2 linked regions of the Tamandua tetradactyla genome follow. The protein of the gene in region 2 purifies or fractionates together with the protein of the main gene of each other region. This does not show direct contact. Links are inferred from orthologs where the notes say so. Each region holds a gene or a part of one and is shown on either strand. Other genes may lie near its edges. The genes, in order: TUT1 and SART3.

Region 1 (10,989 bases), on a different chromosome or scaffold from region 2:
TTCCTTGGTAACAGAGACCATCAGGAGATAGAAATAGGGTAAGATATTGGGTAATTGGAGCTGAAGGGATACAGATTGTGCAACAGGACTGAATATAAAAACTCAGAAATGGACAGCTCAATATTACCTAACTGTAATACAATTATGTTAAAACACTGAATGAAGCTGCATATGAGAATGATAGAGGGAGGAGGGCTGGGGCATAAATGAAATCACAAAGAAAGAAAGACGATAAAGATTGAGATGGTGTAATCTAGGAATGCCTAGAGTGTATAATGATAGTGACTAAATGTACAAATTTAAAATATGTTTTTGCATGAGGAAGAACAAAAGAATGTCATTACTGCTGTGTGCTGAAAATAGATGGTACTTAATATTTTAAAATTTCAACTGATGTGTGAGACTAAAGCAAAAAATGTTTATTTGGTACAAATCTATACTTTGACTAGTGCATCTCCTAATATAACTTATGTAAATAGTTGATTGAACACCTTAAGTACATGGAACTTTGTATAGGACATGAGATTTTGTTGGTTTGTCCAGGTGATGCCCTGATGAATCCCAGAGTGATCTGATCAGTGAGTGGAAAAGTATTTGCAAAGTCCCCTTCCGGGAAGGGTGAGAATGGGGGAAAACTCAACTTCCCCAAGTTGAATTCTTGATATTCTCACAAGCAGTGTGGACAACCAAAGCTATAGGCTGAGCCCCCAGTCTTGGGGTTTGTTCATATGAAACTTAACCTCACAGGGGATAGGTCAAGCCTACTTAAAATTAAGCCTAAGAGTCACCCCCAACAGAACCTCTTTTGTTGCTCAGATGTGGCCTCTCTCTGCAGCCAACACAGCAAGCAGACTCACCACCCTCCCCCTGTCTACGTGGGACATGACTACCAGGGTTATGGATCTTCCTGGCAGTGTGGGACAGAAATCCCAGAATGAGCTGAGATTCAGCATCAAGGGATTGAGAAAAACTCTAGAATGAGCTGAGACCCAGCATCAAGGGATTGAGAAAACCTTCTTGACCAAAAGGGGGAACAGTGAAATGAGACAAAGTGTCAATGGCTGAGAGATTCCAAACAGAGTCGAGAGGTTATCCTGGAGGTTATTCTTATGCATTAAGTAGATATCACCTTGTTATCCAAGATGTAACAGAGAGGCTGGAGGGAACTGCCTGAAAATGGAGAGCTGTGTTCCAGTAGCCATGTTTCTTGATGATGATTGTATAATGATATAGCTTTCCCAATGTGACTGTGTGATTGTGAAAACCTTATATCTGATGCTCCTTTTATGTACCTTGTCAGGAAACAAGTAGAACATATGGAACAAAAATAAATAATAGGGTGAACAAATGTTAAAACAGATTTAGTTTGAAATGCTAGTGATCAATGAAAGGGATCAGTAAGGGGTATGGCCTGTAAAATTTTTTTTTTCTGTTTGTTATATTTTTCTGTTGTCTTTTTATTTCTTTTTCTGAATTGATGCTAATGTTCTGGGAAATGATGATGATGATGAATATGCATCTATGTGATGATATTGTGAATTGCTGAGTGTATGTGTTGGGAATGTTTGTTTCTTGTAATTTTTTTAACTCATAAAATTTAAAAATGTAAAAAAAAAAAAAACCAGCATGGTACTGGCATAAAGATAAAGATAAGATATAATGACCAACAGAATCTAATTGAGTGCTCAGAAATAGATCCTCTCATCTATGGACAACTGATCTTTCATAAGACAGTCAAGCCAACCCAAATTGTACAGAGCAGTCTCTTCAATAATTGGTGTCTGGAGAACTGGGTATCCATATGCAAAAGAAGGAAAGAGGATCTATATCTCACACCCTAAATAAAAATTAACTCAAAAATGGATCAAAGATCTAAATATTAGAACTAAGACCACAAAACTTTTAGAAGCATGAGCAATGAAAACAGAAACAGATAATGGGATCTCCTCAAAATTAAACACTTTTTTTTTTTTTGCATGGTCAGGCACCTGGAAACGAACCCCAAAATTAAACTTTTGTGCATCAAAGAACTTTGTCAAGAAAGTGAAAAGGCAGCCTAAGCAATGGAAAACAATATTTGGAAATCAAATATCAGATAAGGGTTTAATATCCGTAATATATAAAGAGATTCTACAACTCAACAACAAAAAAACAAACAATCTAATTTAAAAACGAGCAAGAGGCAAAAATAGACAGTTATCAGAAGAAGAAATACAAATGGCTAGAAGGCATATGAAAAGGCAGGCATTAAAACCCAGGACTACCCAGGCCTGACTTCTTGTTGTATGAAAAAAATTAAATTCACTTGTTTAAGCCACTGAAGTTAGGTTGCTGAATGCAATCTCTAACAAAAGCAGATCCCATCCTAAGACAAGACCTGGGCTGCAAAGGAGACCTGGGTCTCACCTAAGCCACATCTACTTAACCAAAATGCAGACTCAGAACTACAATTTGATCAAAGAGAGCAACATTCCAACAGTAAATCTTTTTCAAGGGATGAAAGGGACAATGACAAAAGGTCTGCATGAATGCAAGACCACAAAGAACAAGTTTGTTTGCTTAGCACTGACCAGAGCAGGATGTTCGGACCAGATAACCTCAGTACCTCTCAGTGTAAAGTAATAAACTGACAACTGATTTACCAACCAGTCTCTTGTGGGGTTAGGATAGGTCCCCAGATGGTATAGTCTTAAAGCACCTGTTTTAATTGTCTCCTTTCTCCTCTAGACTGTAAGCTCTGGGCAAGCAGAAACCATGCCTATCCCAGCTCACTACCCAGAATGCAAGTCTATGCACAGTGCCTAATACAAAGTTGACACAAATAAATATTTGGTGAATAAAAGTTGATTGAATAAATAATGACAAGTCTCCTAATGACTAATTCTGAACTGATAAAACTCCAAGCAGGGGAGGAGTTTGCAAAGCTGGACTAGGGCAAATACTGTGGTATCCCATCAAGGACAAGCCATATGAGAAACCAGCTGAAGCAACTGCTCTCTCGGGTTTCTTTTGGGAAGTAGCACATCAGACTCATTCTTCATTCCCAGAGTCATGCATTCTACCTTGTCTTTGTCCATGACGACACTGGCCACAGGTCCAAATGCCTGGAAGTATTCAGAAAGCTGAGTAGAATCCACATCCCGCGAAAAGCCACTGACAAACACACTCCGAAGTCCCTGGGCTTTTCGGGCAGCTCGTAGTTCTACCAAGTGCCGGTGCTTCCGGCCTCCCAAGTGAGCATCTAGGCTGGGCCCTGCAAAGGCAAGTATGAGACAAAACATCAAATCACTCTTCAGTGTACCTGTTTCTGCTTTTGTTCTCTGCACACCTAAACCTTTACTGACCCTTCAAAGCCACAGAAAGTGTAACTTCTGAATAAAAAAAGTCCTGGTCCCCTTCTTCTTTCATCTTCCTCTCTTGTTCATTTTTCTATATGCTGCACTCTCTAAGTGGTTCTTTGGGGAAGTGGCTACACTATAAATATTTCTTAAAACATCCATAAGTGCTAGGTACAGTGGCACCTAAAAAAATGTATAGCAATTAACAGGCAATTTATCCAGGTCATATAAAGAATTAAATTAATCTGCACTATGGACTATTCCCCATGAATCATTTCTGGGTACTTAGCATGTACTGCTTTTAAGGGCAAGATCTGGAACCAAACTGCCCAAGTTCAAATCCCAGCTCTATAAAGCCATAGAGACTTCAGGCAAGTTACTGAGCCTCTTGTGCCTCAGTTTTCCCAGATATAAAATGGGGATAATAATATACCTACCCACATTGGTACTATTCATATATACAACTGGCAGAGTCAAGTACACAGTAAATGTAGAAAAAGATAGCTTCTATTATTATTTTTATTATATCTAAGTCTGCTCCTTAGTGCCACCAAGGTAGGTATGGAGCCAGGGAAGATTTAATGACTTCTGGGTTTCTGGCTTGCCCTACTGGACAAATAGTAATAGTGTCATCCACACAGAGAGGGAAGAATGGAAGAAGATTCTCTACAGGCAAGATTATGATTCTAGACTTCATCAATAGAATCTGAGGTTTCACTCAACCCCTTTGAAAGTCATGCAAGAACCCTGTCTAGATTTCCAAACTCATCTTCTTGCTTGCTGGTGCTCTACGCTCCAGTCATGCAGAATCTCACAAACATAACCATGCTATTTCACACATCCCTGCTTTCGGCAGCTCCTCTAGAAGGGTTCCCTGACTCCCAATTGCTGCTGTCTCTGTTATCCACAGCTTTCCAGACATTATCTACAGAGTATTGAAACGGTTTCCTTCTCTGGATGCTCAATTCCTTCATCTCTAAATCCCCTCCTTCACCCCAGAACCCAACAAAGTACCAGGCACAGATGACTATTAAATAAATCACTATTAAATAGAAAACAGGGTGGTGCGACGGTGGCTCAGTGGCAGAAATCTCGCCTGCCATACCGGAGACCCGGTTCGATTCCCGGTGCCTGCCCATGCGAAAAAAAAAAGAGAGAGAGAAAGAGAGAAAACAATGGAACTTTCCTCGTGGGGATTTCGGTCGGGAGGTGGCTTTTGACAACGGAGGTGAGTGACTCCAACAACCGACCTGACAGGGACAATGACCTTTAACCCTAACTTTCGCTGGGGCCAAAAGACTAAAGACCCCAGCCACATCCCCTCCCCCTCACTATCCACCCCTTACGGTTAGCTGTGGTAACTTGGCAGAGGCAGCAGCGGAAAGCCCCACGCGGCAGCGACTGGACGTCCGAACCGACCGCCGCCATTGCGCCTCTCACGTACCGACAAAAATCTACCGCTCCTGCCTCCACCGGAACTCACTCCTCCAAATCACAACGCGCTGGAAAACAACTTCCGCCGGTCTGATAGGAAGTGACGTAATCGGCACTCGCTCGGGCACGTTCCCCCCGGAAACCGAGGTCAAGGTTCCGTTTCTTGATTGTACGAAGTCGCCACCGGCTTTAGGAAAAGCCTCCCTTCTGCGATGCTTATCTTGCTTTCGGTAAGCCGATTGGTGTGTTCTGCATGATCAGGCGCTGATTGGTCCGGAGGATCGTGGCTATTGTTAACTCAGCTGCCAAGGCAGGCGCGGGCGGGAGTGGGGACTGGGTCCCCTGCGGCTGCCGGCTCTGCTGCTGCCGGATGGCGGGGCTGCGGTCGTGAGCCGCCGGTCGTGAGCCGCTACTTCAAGGGGCAGTCGCGACCCTCGCGCGGGTGCCCACATCCAGCCCCACATCCACCCCGCGAATAAAGGCGGAGGATGGGCAGCCTCCACGCTTTGGGCCCACGAAGCCTACGGCTCTCCCTGGACTCCCAATCTCGGGGCGTTTACCCTCTCCCTCCGTCCACGGACCTCCCCCCGAAAATGGGTGTGCGGCAGCCGCCTCCTAGTCTCGGGTGGGAGCTCTGTGCGCTTTCCTTCCGGACTCCGGCGATCACTCGCTGCGGCCCGGGTGGGCCAGGCTCGTCCCTGCACCGACTTGCCTTCCGTAGCAGTGACCTCCGCAGTGTATATTCAGGAGGCTGCAGAACCTCCGGCCCACAACAGGGCAGTGCGCAGGAACCAGCTGTGGTAGCAGCCGAACGAGGACAGTAGAGGGGGGATGTGCTGCTGACCCCCAGACTGGCATAGTGTTCACTTCCTCCCCTAACACCTCGGAGGTGTGAGCCAACTCCTCGTGTAGTGGATGAAGGGGACCATTCGATGGGATAAACAGCTTGTGCTGTGGTTACCAGCCCCCACCTTTGGATGGTGGAAAGAGCAGCGGACCTGAGGCAGGCATACTGCGGTCTGTAACTTTGACCAAGTCACAACTGCCACTCCCCATCTCTAAAGGAGTGCCCAAAGCACACACAGACTGACCTTGTCCTCTCTCCTAAAGTATTCTTCCTATTGGGCTTCACCCAAACCTAAAACCGCAGAGGACAGTGGGCCCTCATAGCTAGGCAGTTGCTGAGACCAGCCCTCAAGATCTTGAAGCAGCAGTGTGTGAGAACAGCCGTTACTGGGTAGTAGGATCCTGCGGTACACTCCAGAGTGGACTACATCCCCTGGCCTCTAGCAACTCCCAGAATTCCCTGAGCAGAGAGAAGAGTAAGAATTGGGAAAACAGAGAAAAGACCACGCTCACAACCCCCTCCTGTGGAAGCCACCAGCCGCCCAGAGAGCCAGTTCATCCCAACTGCTTTGAACCTGGGCCAAGATGGTCCATTAGTTCCAGCACCACTGGGAACAGGGGAGCAGTTTGTGTCCTACAAGAAGGCTGGCTGGAGTAGACAGCCTGAGTCCAGTGTGCATAATCTCATAAAGAAGTGGTTCCCAGGGCAAGCCCAATCTGTATCTCCTTTATTGTTCTTTGTCCTTTATTTTCCCACACCCCCCCTCCTGGACCTCCCTCCCTACATCTATGGCAGAGAAGAGCTGAGCCTGGAGGGACTGAAGAAAACAGCTTTTTATTTGTTACTATAAGAACCAATTACAGAATTCCAAGATTAAAAAAAACAGACAAAAGATCTTTATTTCTGAGTTGGTGTACAAAAGGCAGAAGGGGGGAGGGGAGAAGAGGAAAGGAAAGAGTGAGCATGGGCTGGGGTTGATGCCAGTTTAGGGGCCTCAAACTCCAATTAGGAAAGTCCGGACACCGGACACGAAGAGAAACCCCCAATTAGAAAAAAAATAAAAATAAGATAGACATGGCAGCGCATGCCCCCCTCCCCCAACCAGGTACTGCCACCTGATACCTGTTTACTCTTCCCCTCCCCTCCATCCCCTTTCACAAAGGGAGGCAAAATTTTTAAAAAATTAAAAAACCCTCCCCCCAAAACTGTCCAAGACAAACTGTGGGTCCTATCCCCCCAAAAGAGGCCAGGTTCCCCACAAGGGCCAGTTTCCTGCAGACTGCCCTCCATCACCAGGCTTGGAGAAGCATGGGAAGGAGACAAGCTTAGTGGTGGTGACACCAGAGGGCGTCTTTCTCTTCCAGGGACACGCCCACACTTGCTTCCTCCCTTCTTCCTTCCCTCCACACTCTCTTAGATACCAGAGAGAAGGGAGGTTTGAGTGCCCTGAGGACCCACCCTCTACCTTTCAGCCCACTTCCCTTCCCCACAGATGCTCAATCCTCCAGAACAATGGGCTCATTGGTGCTGGCAGGATGTGCAGGTGCAGGTAGAGGCACTTGGGGCCGCACTGCAATCAGCGGAGGCTTCACCTTCAGGGGCAAATTGGGTCGGCGGGCAGCTCTCCGCATTTCCAAGTGGGTCAGGGCCTTCCGCAGAGCCCTGGCCAGAAAGATGAAGACAGGAATACAGAGAGCTTAGAAAGGCTAAGACTCCCCAAGAAGAAACCCCACCCTCCAGTTCTGCCTTCCTGTTCATTCTTTTCTAACACACACACATACACACTCCCCACCCCACACCCACAGTCTTTCTGACGCTGGTCTTGCTGGGTTCTTATTTCCCATACCCACCCACTTGGCTCATCAACCTCTAAGCCCCTCTCATGGTGGGTTCCCTACCTGGTATCTTTTGTGGCCACAAACACCACAGGATTGGGGGCATCAGCTGGGTTAAGTTTCTGGCGCTTGGCTACTGGCTGTGAGCTTGAGCGAATCCCTGAGGCCAGAGGCCTTCCATTGGCAGAGAAGGGGACCCCTGCCATCTGGAAAGGGGTGTGGCAGCACAATGAGGGTGGGGGCCCTCTGAGGCTCCTACCAGAAATAAAAACCCACCCACGTTAGTCTTGGCCAGCCCCAGTCTGCCAACTCACGGTCTCATAGGCTCGTTTCACCATAATGCCTGCCAGGCCCCGGTTCTGGGTCAGCTGGTTCCTGTTGATTGGTGTCTTGGTGCCTCGAGGGGTTTTGGGTTTCAAAGGAGCCTGGGCCACTGCCAGGAAAAAATAAAGGAAAACTTAGAAAACTTTTGCCACCTTCTTTCCCCTATGCAGTTTCCTTTTCTCACCTCCACCTCTTTCCCTGTGGCAGCAATTTTCCCAGGCATTGCCAAAAGGAGTGATAGGGAGGGTCTGGAGAGGTATTACCAGTACTTCAGAGATCAGGACTGCAACCTTATCAAGTCAGTGTGGTAACACTGTATAGCTTACGGGAAACCATTATTAAGCTATAAAAGTACAGTTTGTTAAACTAAATCTTTTAGGATTCAATGGGGGAAAAAAGCAGAGGAGTACTACTTTACTCTTATAGTAAAAGGAGCCAGAGCTTGAGCCCACCCTAACTGGCAGCCCATCCTATACCCAGATCTTTGACGATAGTTGCCAGGGGCAGCCGAACCAGAGGATGAATTTTCAATGGAGTCTTGGCAGCCTTAGGAAGTCGAATGGAACCTAGAACACAAAGATTGAGGCTTCACTATTCAGCTACTTCTGAGACCAGGAGCCATGTCCAATCTCTTAATAAACCTCTAAGACTACAGTCGTTAAACATGCAGAGAAACACTGGTCTCGAGCCAGAAAAACCCCGACCCCGTCACTAGCCCCATCATCCTGCGCTTACACTCTGCCTTGATGGCATTGGCATTGATAGGGGCATAGGGTCTCCGGGCTGCCCTCCTTGGCTGTAACAGGTCCCTGCACATGCGCCTGGCAAGACGGGTCAGCTTTGTGGTTTGGAGCAGGAATGTCTGCCTGTTCTTGGCCAGCAGCTTGGCCCGATTAGCGCTGGTCGTATAGGGGGAGAGACTTTGAGCTTCAGGTCTGGACAAATGACCCCTCGAGTGTGGCTCCTGGGGGAAGGGCATAGGAAAAGGGGAGAATGAAAATCAGCACCGAGACTCCCTTCTTTCTTCCATTCTCTGCAGAGGGTGAATTTATTCTTGCCTCACCTTTTTACTGCCATCCCGAACTACTGGCTCCCTGACCACTATCAGCTCTGCCCCCTTTTCCCTGGCAAGCCATCACTGGATAAAGAAATGGGTATTCTGACCTTCTAAGTCTCATATCATCATGCTTACTCCTCTCCCCTGCCTGTCTGCCATCAATTCTTACTGTGGTGCCCCGAGCAGCCCCCTCAAGCTGGGTTGGGGTCTTCAGTCCCCCATACTTCTTCCAGTAGATCCAACAGGAAGCACAGAGGCGGCACTGCATGTTGGGTGGGCCCCAGGCATACCACTGAGCAGACTGTGTGGCTGCAGAAACATAGAGATGAGTGGGAGGTCAAGGAGGAAAGAGTTCTCAAGCCAAAGCAGGCCTCCCACCCACCCCTGGCATCCGAGTCCTTCCCTTGAACTCACTGTGACAGCTCTCGCAGGTCAAGCCCTTCTGGAATCCGGCCCCATTCATGCCAGGTTTTGAGCCCACAGAGATGATCTGGTTAGGGTTTGGCTTAGTGCTAATAGGAGTGACAGGGGGAAGAAACCAAGAAACTGATCAAGGAAAAGAATTTATTTCTGCCCTGTCTCTAACATTAACATAATCGAACCCTGCCTTCTGCCTGCCCCTATCACCGAGGAAATCACAGTTTGGGCAAAAAGAAGGAAAATATATCCAGTCTCCCCTACCCACCACACTTACTAGGTAGGGATGTAGACCTGTTTCAATTTACTGTCTGCTTCAGCAGCTTTCAATCTTTTCTACAAGAGGTAAAAAGAAAGAAAAGGATCAGCCTTGGCAGGGAAGAAGTCACCAACTTGAAAGGCAGAGTTGAGTGAGAGGCCACTAGTCCAACCTCCCCACCCTAGTTCTTACCTGCTGAATATAGCGGTCTGTGGTTTTCCACATGTAGTAAAACTGGACTATGCTGGCGAGTGACTTCCAGGGTAGCTAAGGACAGAAGGATGAAAGAAGATCTGGCCCCTAGATCCTGGTTCCCTCACCTGTCACCTCTCCTCCTAGACACATCCACTTACAAAGTCCTGGCGAATATCGTTGAAATCCTTCCCATACTTCTCCAGGGCCTCCTCAAATAGCATGGCCTCTGAGGCAGACCATTCCTCCATCTCATCCCGGCACAGCACTGGGCCCCCCTGAGGCACCAGGGTCGACATGGCTTTAGCCAGGTCATAGCCATTCCTCTGCAGTGTATCCATTGCATGAAACTGAAGGGACAGTGGGGAACAATGCTGATGACCCCTGGCACTATTCCCCCGCAGCTACTTAAACTCTCCCACTCCCTTGGAGACACCCTGTGTTCCTGTCCCTAGGCGCTGCAAGTACCCACAGAGCCCAGCCTCCCCAATTACCCGCCATATTTCTGCTCACCAGGGTGATGTCTCGGGAGGCAGCAGCTGCACTCATGTGCAGGCTTGGCTGCCGAATAGAACTGCTGCAATCTAGGGCTCTTGCAAAGGTCCCGACAGCTCTGAGGAAGAGATTTAGAAGTCAGAAGGGAAGGAAGAAGAAAATTTGAGTAGACTTAGGCACTATGCCAAATGAGAAAGAAGGGAAAAACCTATGCCAAAGCAAAAATAACAATATCCCATCTCCAAGAGTGAGACTTAGGGCTATGCCCACACCTCCCCCAGCCCATCAGCCCCATCCACCCACCCCTCACCGGGCCACCACGAGAAACTGATCAATCTGCCGGTCTGTGAGAGGGTTGTCTGGGTCCCAGACCTTCATCTCCATCTTCTGTTGGTTCCGATTATCTGATTCTCCTAGAAAATGAGCCAAGGGCATCATTGGGGAGAGGGAAGGGGAGCATAATTGGTGTTTTATCACTCACAATAGCACCTCCTACCTCTTCTTCCCCTGTTTGGATCCCACTACCCACCTCAACTCTCAGAGACTGCTCTTCTCAACTGTGCCCCTTTTCCCCTTTCAAGTTCCCAAGGCCCCATTCTATCAGGGTCATAGCACAGAGTCATGCAGAATACACAAGGGAAATCATCCACAGACTATGATGGTAAAGTGCACCTCAGATATTACATAACTCAGTAAACATGCATTCTGTCCTGCTGCTTACCCTCTGCCAGGCGATCTGGGATCTCAGCTTGGTATTTGCAACCAACTCTGATCTCCCCCTGATCAGCTAA
Region 2 (10,726 bases):
TACCCCCATCCCTGAGGCAGGTCACTGAGGCACCTGGACTTGGGGGAGTCTGGGAAGCCCTACCCTCGGAAGAGGGGAACTCAGAGCAGAACTGATCTGACAATTGGCTGGTACACTCTGGGTCCCACTGCCTCGATCTTAGCTACCCAGGGGCTTAGGGTGCTCACTGCATACATGGGCAGAGAGGTGGGGGCAAGAGGGCTGCATGGCAATGCCAGGCACCCTTCCCCCACATCTGAGATGGTCTTGCTGGCCGGCAGAAAGCAGAACACTCCTGGGCTGGCTGATGAAGTTCAACCTCTCAGTCCCGCAGCCTGGAGTCTTTCCACATAGGAATCTGGGAATCACCAGATCCATTGCACCTACAAGCTGTAGTCTTCATCGTGGTGCACAGTGCCCACTCCCAGACCCCACACCCAGAGGAGGTGGCTTCCAGCACACCCAGGAACCTGCGGCCTTGACTGGTCTGGACCATGCCCAGCCAGATGCCACAGTGAGGAAGAGGCACAGTTGTGGGGAAGAGGTGGCCCAAGAGCGCCATCTTCTCGGAAGACTGAGAAAGTACAGTCTGGCAATCTGTCCACTGTCCAACAGTCTTCTAAAAAGGATTTCACTCCAAGTTAGGCACTGGCCTTGGTTTGGCTGGGAATGACGGACAACACAAATCCAAGCAAAAACAAAACACTAGATGAGTGAGGAAAACCAACTGTGATGGTTAGGTCCTGGTGTCAAATCAGTCAAATGATGAGGTCCAGTATGGTTGATAAACTGGAAGGCTGGTGTATCTGCAATCAACTACGGCGTGTCTCCCTCAATCGATACTCCAATTAATAAAAGGCTTTTAAGGAAGAAGAGAGACACTTTAACTGCTTCTTCAGCCAGCAAGTCTCTCCTGTGGAGTGCATCTAGACCCTTCACTGGAGCTGCCAGCTTCACAGTCTGCCTTACAGATTTTGGATCCTTCCATTCTCATGGTTGAGTGAGATACCTTCATAAATTTCTTATTTACAGATCTCTCCTGCTCCTTCTGTTTCTCTAGAGAACCCTGACTAACATACCAACTTTCAAAGTAACCTTATCAAGATAATCAAAGCCAAGAAGCTAACAAAAAAAATCACAAACCATATGAATTTGATCAAATTAAAACCATATGAATTTGGTCAAATTAAAAAATATGCTCAAATTAAAAAGTCAGAGGTGATTCAGAACTTGGAGTAACAAATCAAAGATACTCAAGCAAACCTAAATAACTTCAATGAGTTGGCTAAAGAGACAAAGGATATCAAGAAAACACTAGAAGAGCATAAAGACAAATTTATACAATTGTATAAAGATGTAACTTTTCAAATGCAACTGTGTGATTATGAAAGTTTTATCCAGAGTATGAACAGATGGGTAAAAAATAAACAAATAATAGGGGGGATGAGGGGTAAAATAAATTGGAGAGACTGAAACACTAGTGGTCAATGAGAGGGAGGGGGTAAGGGGTATGGGATATATGAGTTTTTTCTTTTTTCTTCTTTTTCTGGGGTGATGCAGATGTTCTAAAAATGATCATGGTGATGAATACACAATTATGTGATGATACTGTGAGCCACTGATCATACACCATGTATAGACTGTATGTGTGTGAAGATTTGGCAATAAAAATGTTAAACAAATAAATACATTCCTGAGGTTAAAATAATGAAGATACTTCACATGGAGAGGTGTTCTAAAAGTACATCTATTAAAAGCATACAGGGTACATGGGAGGTTCAGTGGTAGAATGGCTTGCCTTTCATGCAGGAGACAGACCCAGGTTCAATTCCTGGACCATGCACCCCAAAATAAAAATAATAAATGCATACTGAAATGCAATTTAAAAAGACATTTCTACAAATTTCAGTCAGTATTAACAAACGAATACACATTTTAGTCTAGCTGGCCTCACAGAATACCAGTAATGACAAAGGAGGCTTTAAAGAGGGGGCTTAGCCAATGTACAAAATGATCCACTGATGTCCTAACTTCCTAGCAGTGTGAAAAGTACTGATCTGAACCTAGAATGAGCGTGGAGAAAAATGAGAGGCGTGGTAGAAAGAAAACAACTGGTGCAACCACAGGAAGAGCAGAGAAAAGAGAATGGAACCAACCTTTGTATAGCAGCTACTATGCATAGCAGAGCCAAACTGGGCAATTTTACATGCATTGTGTCACTTAACCCCCATTAAAGCCCTGTGAGAGGCATTACTACAATCTCCTTTTTACCAACTGGGATAAAATAGGCTCAGAGACTTGAAATAACTTGTCCAAGGTCTTCTGACTAGTAAGTGGATCACCTGATTTGAGTATAGTTTGCAAAGCTATACTCTTTGTGCTGCACCATGGTACACTGACAAATGTGCTTAAGGCACGAGGAGGTGCTACTTTTAGTTTCAGCCCAAAAACACAACTAATATAAAGTCTTTGTTTTTGTTACATGAACAGATATCACAGCAAATCACAAGCCTGCATAAAATAAACTCAAGAACGAAAACTGGAATACGCAGATGTGGCAAGGCCAAGATCTGCACCGCCCTATTTGGAAGTTACTTGTCATTATGCTCTACTATAAGGGCAGTTACAGGAGGAACTAGAGGCTGTGGGATTACAATGATGTGGGAAGGAGGTATGCAAATATTGGAAAAATAAATTTTTAAAGCCCAAGATAAAGAGGATAAGGCCAAAGACCCTTAGCTCACTATCACTTACAAGGTCGCATACTGTGTGGACACTTTCTAAGCTCCATACCAACCTAGGTGAACTAAAGATATAAGTCAGGCAGGCAACTGCACAGCATCCACTGCCAGCATACCTTCACTCTGACCCCTCCTCCCCATTAGTAAAACTGTGCACGATCAAGGGCTTCATATCCATTCCAAGCCTTCCCTTCCTACTAAAACAGGTGATCCTCATGTAACAGTAAGGTCAAAGTGAGCTGGCTCATCAAAAGGCCCAGAACTAGAAGTTTGAAGAAATTATTTCAATGTAGGCAGGGAAACAGTCAGCCTAGCACCCAGAATCACACTGTATTTGCTGAATGAATAAAAGACTGAATAAACTGCAGCATATTTATTTATAAAAAGGAAAATTGTTAACTGCCTTCTAACCTCTGGTTGGTTCCTTTGACAATGAGATGCAATGATAAGTGGAAGAAGATAACCAAAGAATATCACTGTTTCATAACATAAAAATATCAATGCCAGAGGGAAAATTATCATTAACCTTACACTCCATAAGATTAAATGAGTAATCTAGGTTAATAATCTTCATATCACAGAGAGATTTCACATCTAGTGTTGCATTTGATCCAGAGGCTACTTTGAAAGCTTCTGAATAGTAACTCACTTTATCATTTGTTCTGAGCCTCTGTTTCCTCATCAGTAAAATGAAATGTGCTCTATCTCTTCTGTTTCTTCCTCCAAATTCATCCACCCTCTCCTCTGCCCTGCCCTGTGCTGACCACATTAACAGATTCCCTAGCCCTCTAATAATCAGGTGAGTTTGCCCAGCAGGAAGCACCCAGCAGACTTTCACAGGGAGGAGAGAGAGAGACAAGGGAGAAGGAGGCCAGGGTATTTCTTCCCCTACCCCAACTCCTGCCGGGAAACTGAGGCTGCATCTCTTGACCAAAGGTCTCAAATCCTCTCAGGTTCCCTCTCTACCCATCTCTTCTACATGTCACTCCCCTTGCCCCTTCAAGTCTAAAGGTGGAAACAAAGTCCTCCTATTATTAAATGGTACTAAACTTTGCTCCTGATTTCCCGGTCCACACTTTTATAAATGCAACCGTCCCTTTATCAACCTTTCCTCAAATTATCCTAACTTGAGTGTACCATCTATTTCCTGCTGAGACTTGATTTATACAGGAGATAATACCACCTACACCTCCCAAGACTCTTCAGAAATTAGCAATCTGGTTGACATTGGCTGCCAGGCACTCGGCTATCATAACTGTCATGGCAATGCTAAGATACAGAAATTGCCACTCCCTATTTACAATTCAGGAAGCAAAGACTCAGAGAATTTAAGAAAATCGCCCAAATGATAGCCGGAACTGGCGCCTTTAGCCTTGAGAGCCAAAACTTCTACCTTCCCATTTCTGTTGTCATGATTACCGTGAATATTTTTCCTACTACATCATATTTCATTAATGCTGTCCTTCCTACAGGAAAATTATTCTCTCTTACAAATGAGATTTATTGTTGCTGTTGAACGCAATTTAACTGTGTGGTTAAGAATGAGAGTTCTGGTGTTGGTTCAGCGTTCAAAGCCTGACTGGCCACCTGTAGGACATGAAATCTTGAGCAAGAGACTTCCCTCCACAAGCCTCAGTTTCCTCCAGTTAAAACGAGAATACACTATTTCCTTCACTGGGTCGTTGTTAGGATTTAATGGAATACGCTTAGAAAGCGCCCCACACGCAGGTAATGCTCAAACGATGGCGCTACGGTGACTGAAAAAGAGTTACTGCGGCCTTGGGGGCATTACTGCTGCGGACGGGAGAGGTACCCGAGCAAGCGCAGTCGGACGAGGGGCGAGCCCGGACCCGGGTACCTGAGGGAAAGAGCCCGCTGCCCACCCCCGAGCACACCTGCTCCTCCAGCCGCTCGATTTCCAGCTGGTTCTTCTCCTCCTCTTCGTCGTACTCCCACTCGTACTCCCCGGGGGAGCTCTCGGCTGAGGAAGCCATGGCGTATTCCTCGTCTCCATCGCTCTCACTCACGCCTTCCTCCTGCTGATCCCACTCTGGCCCCATGGTCTTGTATGTCGCAGCGGCCACAGCCCGAGATAACACCTTCCTCCTCGTCCTCGTCGCCTTAGCCTCATCCTCCTCTCCCTCAGCCTCGGGCCCAGCCTTGAGCTCAGCCTCCGATTCTGAAGCCGAGGTTGCAGCCGCCGTCGCCATTTTGTGCCTCGGATAATTCTCGGGTCTTCGCTCCGCCGCCGAAGACCGACGGAAGTAGAAGCTGCCCGCGGCGTGCGCCTGACCAAAACCCTGCTCTCTCGCGATCGAAAGGAAAGCTGTGAGCCTCGAGTGACAGAAAAATCTCGAGATACGCTCAATTAATACTATTTTTATGTACTTATAAAAGCTCCCATCACAGAAAAGTCTCATTAATATAACATGACTTTCGTTACAACTTCGGACAGAAGTTGGATGTTTGGACAGGAAGTGGGGGGGGAGCAATGAGGTTGTGGCGCCATCTTGAGAAGGTCAAAGTAATTCTTGGAACGGAGACCTTACTAAAAGTAAGGTCTGATATGGCTCGTTGTTTAGTCTCCCCAGCAACCGAGCCCCAAACGCGGAGAAAACTCCACGTCCTCCGGGAAGGATAGACTGCGCTACTCGTGAGAAAAATGCATTGCCCGAAACGATTCTTCCCCTTTACGTAATGCGAATACTCCTGAGTCTAGTTTTAAAAAATCATATTCTGCACATCTAAAATATTAATTAAAATAAAAGTTAATACCAAGCATTAATTGAGAAACTCAGTTGCCTGGGATTACCATATACATTTTGTTGTTTGCGGTTATTTTCTATATGGAGACTATATATTATATATATGTATACATGCTTTTTTTTAATCAGGGCATGGTGTTCGTTTCTCTAATTAAACTTCCCATTTTTGAGGTAGTAAAGTATTGACGTGTTTCCTTGTTTATTGTCTTGAGCAAACATGTTTTGCTTTTCGTTGCATTCCCAAAGCCTGGTATGGAGACTTAACGTACGTAGTCAACACGTATGTGCTGAGTGGATGAAAAAATTCCCCTTAAATCAGAACAGATGACCAAATCATAAAGACCTGATATCATTCGCTTAGAGTCACAGAGACAGGAAGACGCAGAACCAGAATTCTAACCCAGGACTGTCTTTGCTGGAATCCCAACTGTATACCTAACTCTTTGAGCGAGTTACTAAACCTCTCTGAACCTCAACTTGTTTGGCTGCAAAATAGGTTAGGAAAAGTGGATCGGGTGATCTGTGCATTCCAGCGGTGAGCTTAGCCAGCTCAAGCTTGGGCACAGCGTTCAAACCTTAAACCCGTTCCTGCATCCAGAACCCAACACGAAAAACAAGATCTTATAGTAACTTCAGACCTTCCCGCGCCCCGCCCCGCCCCTTGGGGGGGCGTGGCCAAGGTAGAGCCAAAGAACAGACTGGGCGGATTGGAAGTGCGCAAGCGCGAAGATGCCGGGACGTAAAGCGACGCGTCCTTGGATCCGAAGTCCCGAGTCAAGTAGGCGGCGCGCTTCGCAGCTTCAGACTCGGTGTGGGCTTGCGTTAGGGGCGTCCCCGCAACATGGCGGCGGCCGGAGCTGGCCGTCTACGACGGGCTACGTCGGCCTTGCTACTGCAGAGCAAGCGCCTGCCCGCCCGGGAGCTGTCCGCCCCGGCCCGGCTTTATCACAAGAAGGTAGGAACGAGTAAAGGGGTGCACAGGGCCCGCACCGGCCGGGGAGTGTAAGTGTGAGGAACGGAGAGGGGACGGTGGGGGGGTCGTCCCCTCTCCCGTCTTCTGTCTCGACTAACTTTTCCTCGCTGCGCAGTAACACTAACCGCAATACAAACCAAAATAATAACGCTTACAATAGCGGCTACTTCCTGTGGGCCTCGCAGCTGACTGCTGTTTAGTGCGCCTTTAAACTTCCCAGCAGCCCGGGTGGGCTACACCCCACCGCTAGGGATCCACTTTAGCCAGACCACTGCCCTAGCTAAGTGACCTTGGGCGAGTCACTGCCCCTCGCTGAACCTCAGTTTCCACACTCATAAGATAGAGGTCTTAGCAGTCCCCTCTTACAAGAGATGATGCTTGTGACGTGCTCGGTGTGGTGTCTGGCTCTTAGGCTCAACATATAAAAACTATTAATGCTGCTGTTGTAGTAAAATTATCTCAGGTAGGCCTTATGGAAGTACTGGTTTCTGCCTTTTTGGAGCACACAGCCTCCTGTTGGAGTCAGACGTGTCACCAATAATCATGTTTTTGTTTTTGTTACGTTTTGGGTTTGGGGCCGGGGGCTGCGAAGTTTGCAGCCCTGCCTTCTGGGAGTTTAAGGTATCTTAGAGATGAGACTTTCACTTGGGATTGGGATAAAAAAGCAAAGATTGCTGGCATTCAACATATGGCAATATCCAAATTAGATATTATTTTGTGGGTCCTTGGGCTTAATGTTAAAATCCGTGGAAGGATAGAAGAGGGAAGAAAACAAGAAGATCAAGACACTTAACCGTTATTTAAGCCTTCTGTTTGCCAGTTTGAATGGACATTTAGTCTGGTTTCTGCATATTTGCCCACAGCTCAGGATTATCACACCGCACACACACCAGTGTTTTTTGACAGTACACTCAGTGAATTTAAAGCTAAAAGCTTTTCAGCCACCAGGGTGCACTGTTTAACCAGCCTGATTTCAGAGTGTCTACAAGTCACGTGGAAACTTCTGGAAAGGACTTCAATTTCTGAAACATAGTTACTTTAGAATTTTCTAATTGTAATCATTATCCTTTAAGAGTGGATTTTATTTTGAAATAACAAAAATGCTGCTTGAACCTAAATTGATGACTTGGATGGGTACAAGTTGAAGTAATCATTTGTGATTAAAAACCTTAATGGAGAGTGGGTTACCGTGGCTCAACAGGCAGAGTTCTCACCTGCCATGCTGGAGACCTGGGTTTGATTCCCAGTGCCTACCCATGCCAAAACAAACAAAATCTTAATGAAACCAAGACATGATTTAGGTGATTTTTCTCCAGTATCTCAAACAGAATCTGAAGATAGGAGTGGAAATACGAAAAGACTTTGGGTCATGAATAAAGCCTTGTTGACATGAGTGTAGACTGGTATTTTTACAGGTTGACTGCCAGGTTGCAGGCCTTGTGCCAGTCTTTGAGGGAACACGGATTAGTAAGATTCAATTCCCTACCTCCTGGAACTTAAATTCATGTCGAGGAGACCAGTATCAAGAGTGATCCCCAGGGATGAGCCTGGCCCTAGCACCATGGGATCAACAGTGCCATCCTGACCAAAAGGGGGGAAAGAATTGTAACAAATAAGGTATCAGTGGCTCAGAGAGTTCAAATAGAGTCAAGAGACTACTCTGGAGTCTACTCTTACCCAAGCCACAGCTAGATATTGCTATTTATTATAGTTTGCCAATCCCCAACCAAACCATTCCTGCCCACCCTAAAGAACACCTAAAGCATTATATAAGATTCTACAAAGGTACCATGTACTATGATTACTTTCCAGAAACCTACAACCTCCAGATGGGTTCCTAGGCCAGATGATCCTGAAAGCAGAGGGGCCAGCCTCTCCAGATCATCAACTAATTCCATCCCCCAACCCACATTATTTACAGCCCTTTCCAACATGAAAAAGTCAGAATATGCATAGCTCAAATACCCCTAAAGATTGGGAGAAAGATCAAAGGAGAATGTGGAATTATAACAGAGAAGATAGGACTTACTAAGTGAGCCAGACTGCTGAATCACTATACTGATATTTCTTTTAGTCTCCAATGCCTTAGAGCAGCTAAAAGGAAAAACTTAAAACTGTGGAACTTCAACCCATACCAAACTCTAAAATCTATTCTATAACTAATTGTTGCAGTGTGCTTTGAAATTTATTGCTTTTTTGTATATATGTTACTTTTCACAATTAAAAGAAAGAACAAGGGATTAGTTACATAAAGTATGTCATAATCAAAAAGAAAAAGAGTGATAATGATTCTCTTAACCCTCTCATTTCAGGTTGTTGATCATTATGAAAATCCTAGAAATGTGGGGTCCCTTGACAAGACATCTAAAAATGTTGGTACTGGCTTAGTGGGGGCTCCAGCTTGCGGTGATGTAATGAAATTACAGGTATGGCTGGTTTTCATCCTTAAAGGTAATAACGTAATCCCTTTGTTTTTACAGTGCTTTGCAGTTTAAAAATCATCTGCACACACAGCGTTTCATTTGGTCTCCATTTTTATTCCTGCGAGATGGCACAAGTTGATGTTATAAATGATTAGAGCAGAGACTGAATCTTAGTTCCTCTGTTTGTATGTCTGACCTTTTCTGAAATAGTAAACCAAACTCACCTTTGTACTCTTAATTTCAGCTGCAGCTATGTAAAAAGTTTTTTGAATTTTACTCATCAAAGGAAAACCACAACTATTTGGTTAGCAAGCCCCAATCCAATAGGGCAAGAAATGCAAAAAATCATACCTCTCCCCAGATTAGAGGCAACATGAATGAGGTGGCTGGTGCTTTAGGTAAATTGTAGCTTTATCTACAATTTCATCATGGTGGTTGGGAGCTTGCCAGAGGTTTTTCATGCCTATCTGAGAAAACAGAAACGAGGCAGGAAGGAACTACCAATGCAATTTGGTGCTCAAGAAAAAAGAAGTATCAACAAGAGAACTTTATTGCAGCTTCTCCCAGGGTTTAAAGAAGTAGCAGATTGACTCCAGCAACTTCAAGCATATTTTTTCAAATAGGACTTCATCGCTAAAAAAAGCAGGCTAGGGTTGGGAAAAAAAGAGTGGAAGGGATAGATATTTTTCAACTGATCTTGTAGTTGTGGTATTTTCTAAGTTTAACTTTCCATCACTGAGCTCTTTGAAATGAAGCAAGCTCAGTAACTGAATGCCAAAAATTAAACTGTGGAATGCAAGACCAAAGCTTTGGGGAGAGCCCCAGTGAATCCCAGGTCCCTAGGTTCTGAAGGACAGCACCAGGAATCACTGCTTAACTCTTTATCTTTTTCTAGATTCAAGTGGATGAAAAGGGGAAGATCGTAGATGCCAGGTTTAAAACATTTGGCTGTGGTTCTGCAATTGCCTCCAGCTCGTTAGCCACTGAATGGGTGAAAGGGAAAACAGTAAGGTTGCTTGTAAATTTGATATAATTAAATCATAATCTCCAGAAATTTGGCTGTTATTAAAAGGTCTAATGAGTTAAAAAGGTGACCATGATTTTTTTCTATTTGTTTTTGTTTTTGATCATTTTGTTTGGGGCTTTTGGCATTTGTTTGTTTTTTAATTTAATTAAAAAAAAAAAAGATCCTCACCTCTCTTTCTGACAAAATAGAATTGAAAAGAAGTCTTTGGTTTTTTTCTAAAGTTCCAAAGATGTGTGTTTTTCTTACACATCTAAGTCAGGTCAGAGGATGTATGTAGTGGTTTGTTTTATTGTTTTTCTCCCACCATGTTTCAGGAAGGATTCTAGATGGTTTATAAAAATTCATGAAATATCAAACTAGCCTGTGTTAAAGAGAGAGAATAAAGAATCAAAAAACAGCAAGGTATGGAGCAAAGAAAACAAATCAGAATCATTGTCCAGGTGGCTGGCCAGCAGTCCCTAATGGTAGAGATAAGAAAGGCTGGACTGTCTTTTCCATTGTTCTCTGCCAAAGCCCCTTCCCCCCCACTGCAGAGCTAGAAGGCCAAACCCAGTGAAGAGCTGAACTTTCTGAAATTAATACCTCTCAGGGTTAGTCATCATTAAAACTCTCAAAAAGCCAGTCTGCAGGGTACTCATCTTTGGGGCCCTGAGGGACCAGGTTTCAGCAGCTGAGACATAGAGGAGTATGCTCCAGGGAGCTGGCCAACTCTATAGCAAAGCTGTTGTGTCACTTTCCAATGGCTCAGGGTCTTTTGGCTGGTAAGCTCCTCTGGGCCAAGGAAGCATTCACCTAACCTGTTCGTGGCAGGAGGTGGC

Evidence for each region.
Region 1: the proteins of SART3 (region 2) and TUT1 purify together in Homo sapiens (co-immunoprecipitation; 4 studies listed by BioGRID and IntAct, counting the BioPlex papers as one, with this or other methods). This does not show direct contact. The link is inferred for Tamandua tetradactyla from reciprocal best matches to the Homo sapiens genes SART3 and TUT1.

What each region holds. Positions count from the first base shown.
Region 1 is NC_135335.1:11,966,818-11,977,806, reverse strand, and holds the start of TUT1 (speckle targeted PIP5K1A-regulated poly(A) polymerase), read right to left. Parts: upstream 5,124-10,989; 5' UTR 4,767-5,123; coding exon 4,685-4,766; exon of another isoform or gene 4,671-4,684; intron 3,254-4,670; coding exon 3,063-3,253; intron 1-3,062. Other genes in the region: metastasis-associated protein MTA2, read right to left, coding at 7,116-7,281, 7,518-7,660, 7,769-7,887, 8,255-8,344, 8,514-8,742, 9,005-9,144, 9,250-9,347, 9,530-9,588 and 5 more. UniProt on the Homo sapiens protein: Poly(A) polymerase that creates the 3'-poly(A) tail of specific pre-mRNAs. Localizes to nuclear speckles together with PIP5K1A and mediates polyadenylation of a select set of mRNAs, such as HMOX1.
Region 2 is NC_135331.1:22,829,029-22,839,754, reverse strand, and holds the start of SART3 (spliceosome associated factor 3, U4/U6 recycling protein), read right to left. Parts: upstream 4,960-10,726; 5' UTR 4,931-4,959; coding exon 4,616-4,930; intron 1-4,615. Other genes in the region: iron-sulfur cluster assembly enzyme ISCU, read left to right, coding at 6,327-6,440, 8,771-8,884, 9,777-9,887. UniProt on the Homo sapiens protein: U6 snRNP-binding protein that functions as a recycling factor of the splicing machinery. Promotes the initial reassembly of U4 and U6 snRNPs following their ejection from the spliceosome during its maturation.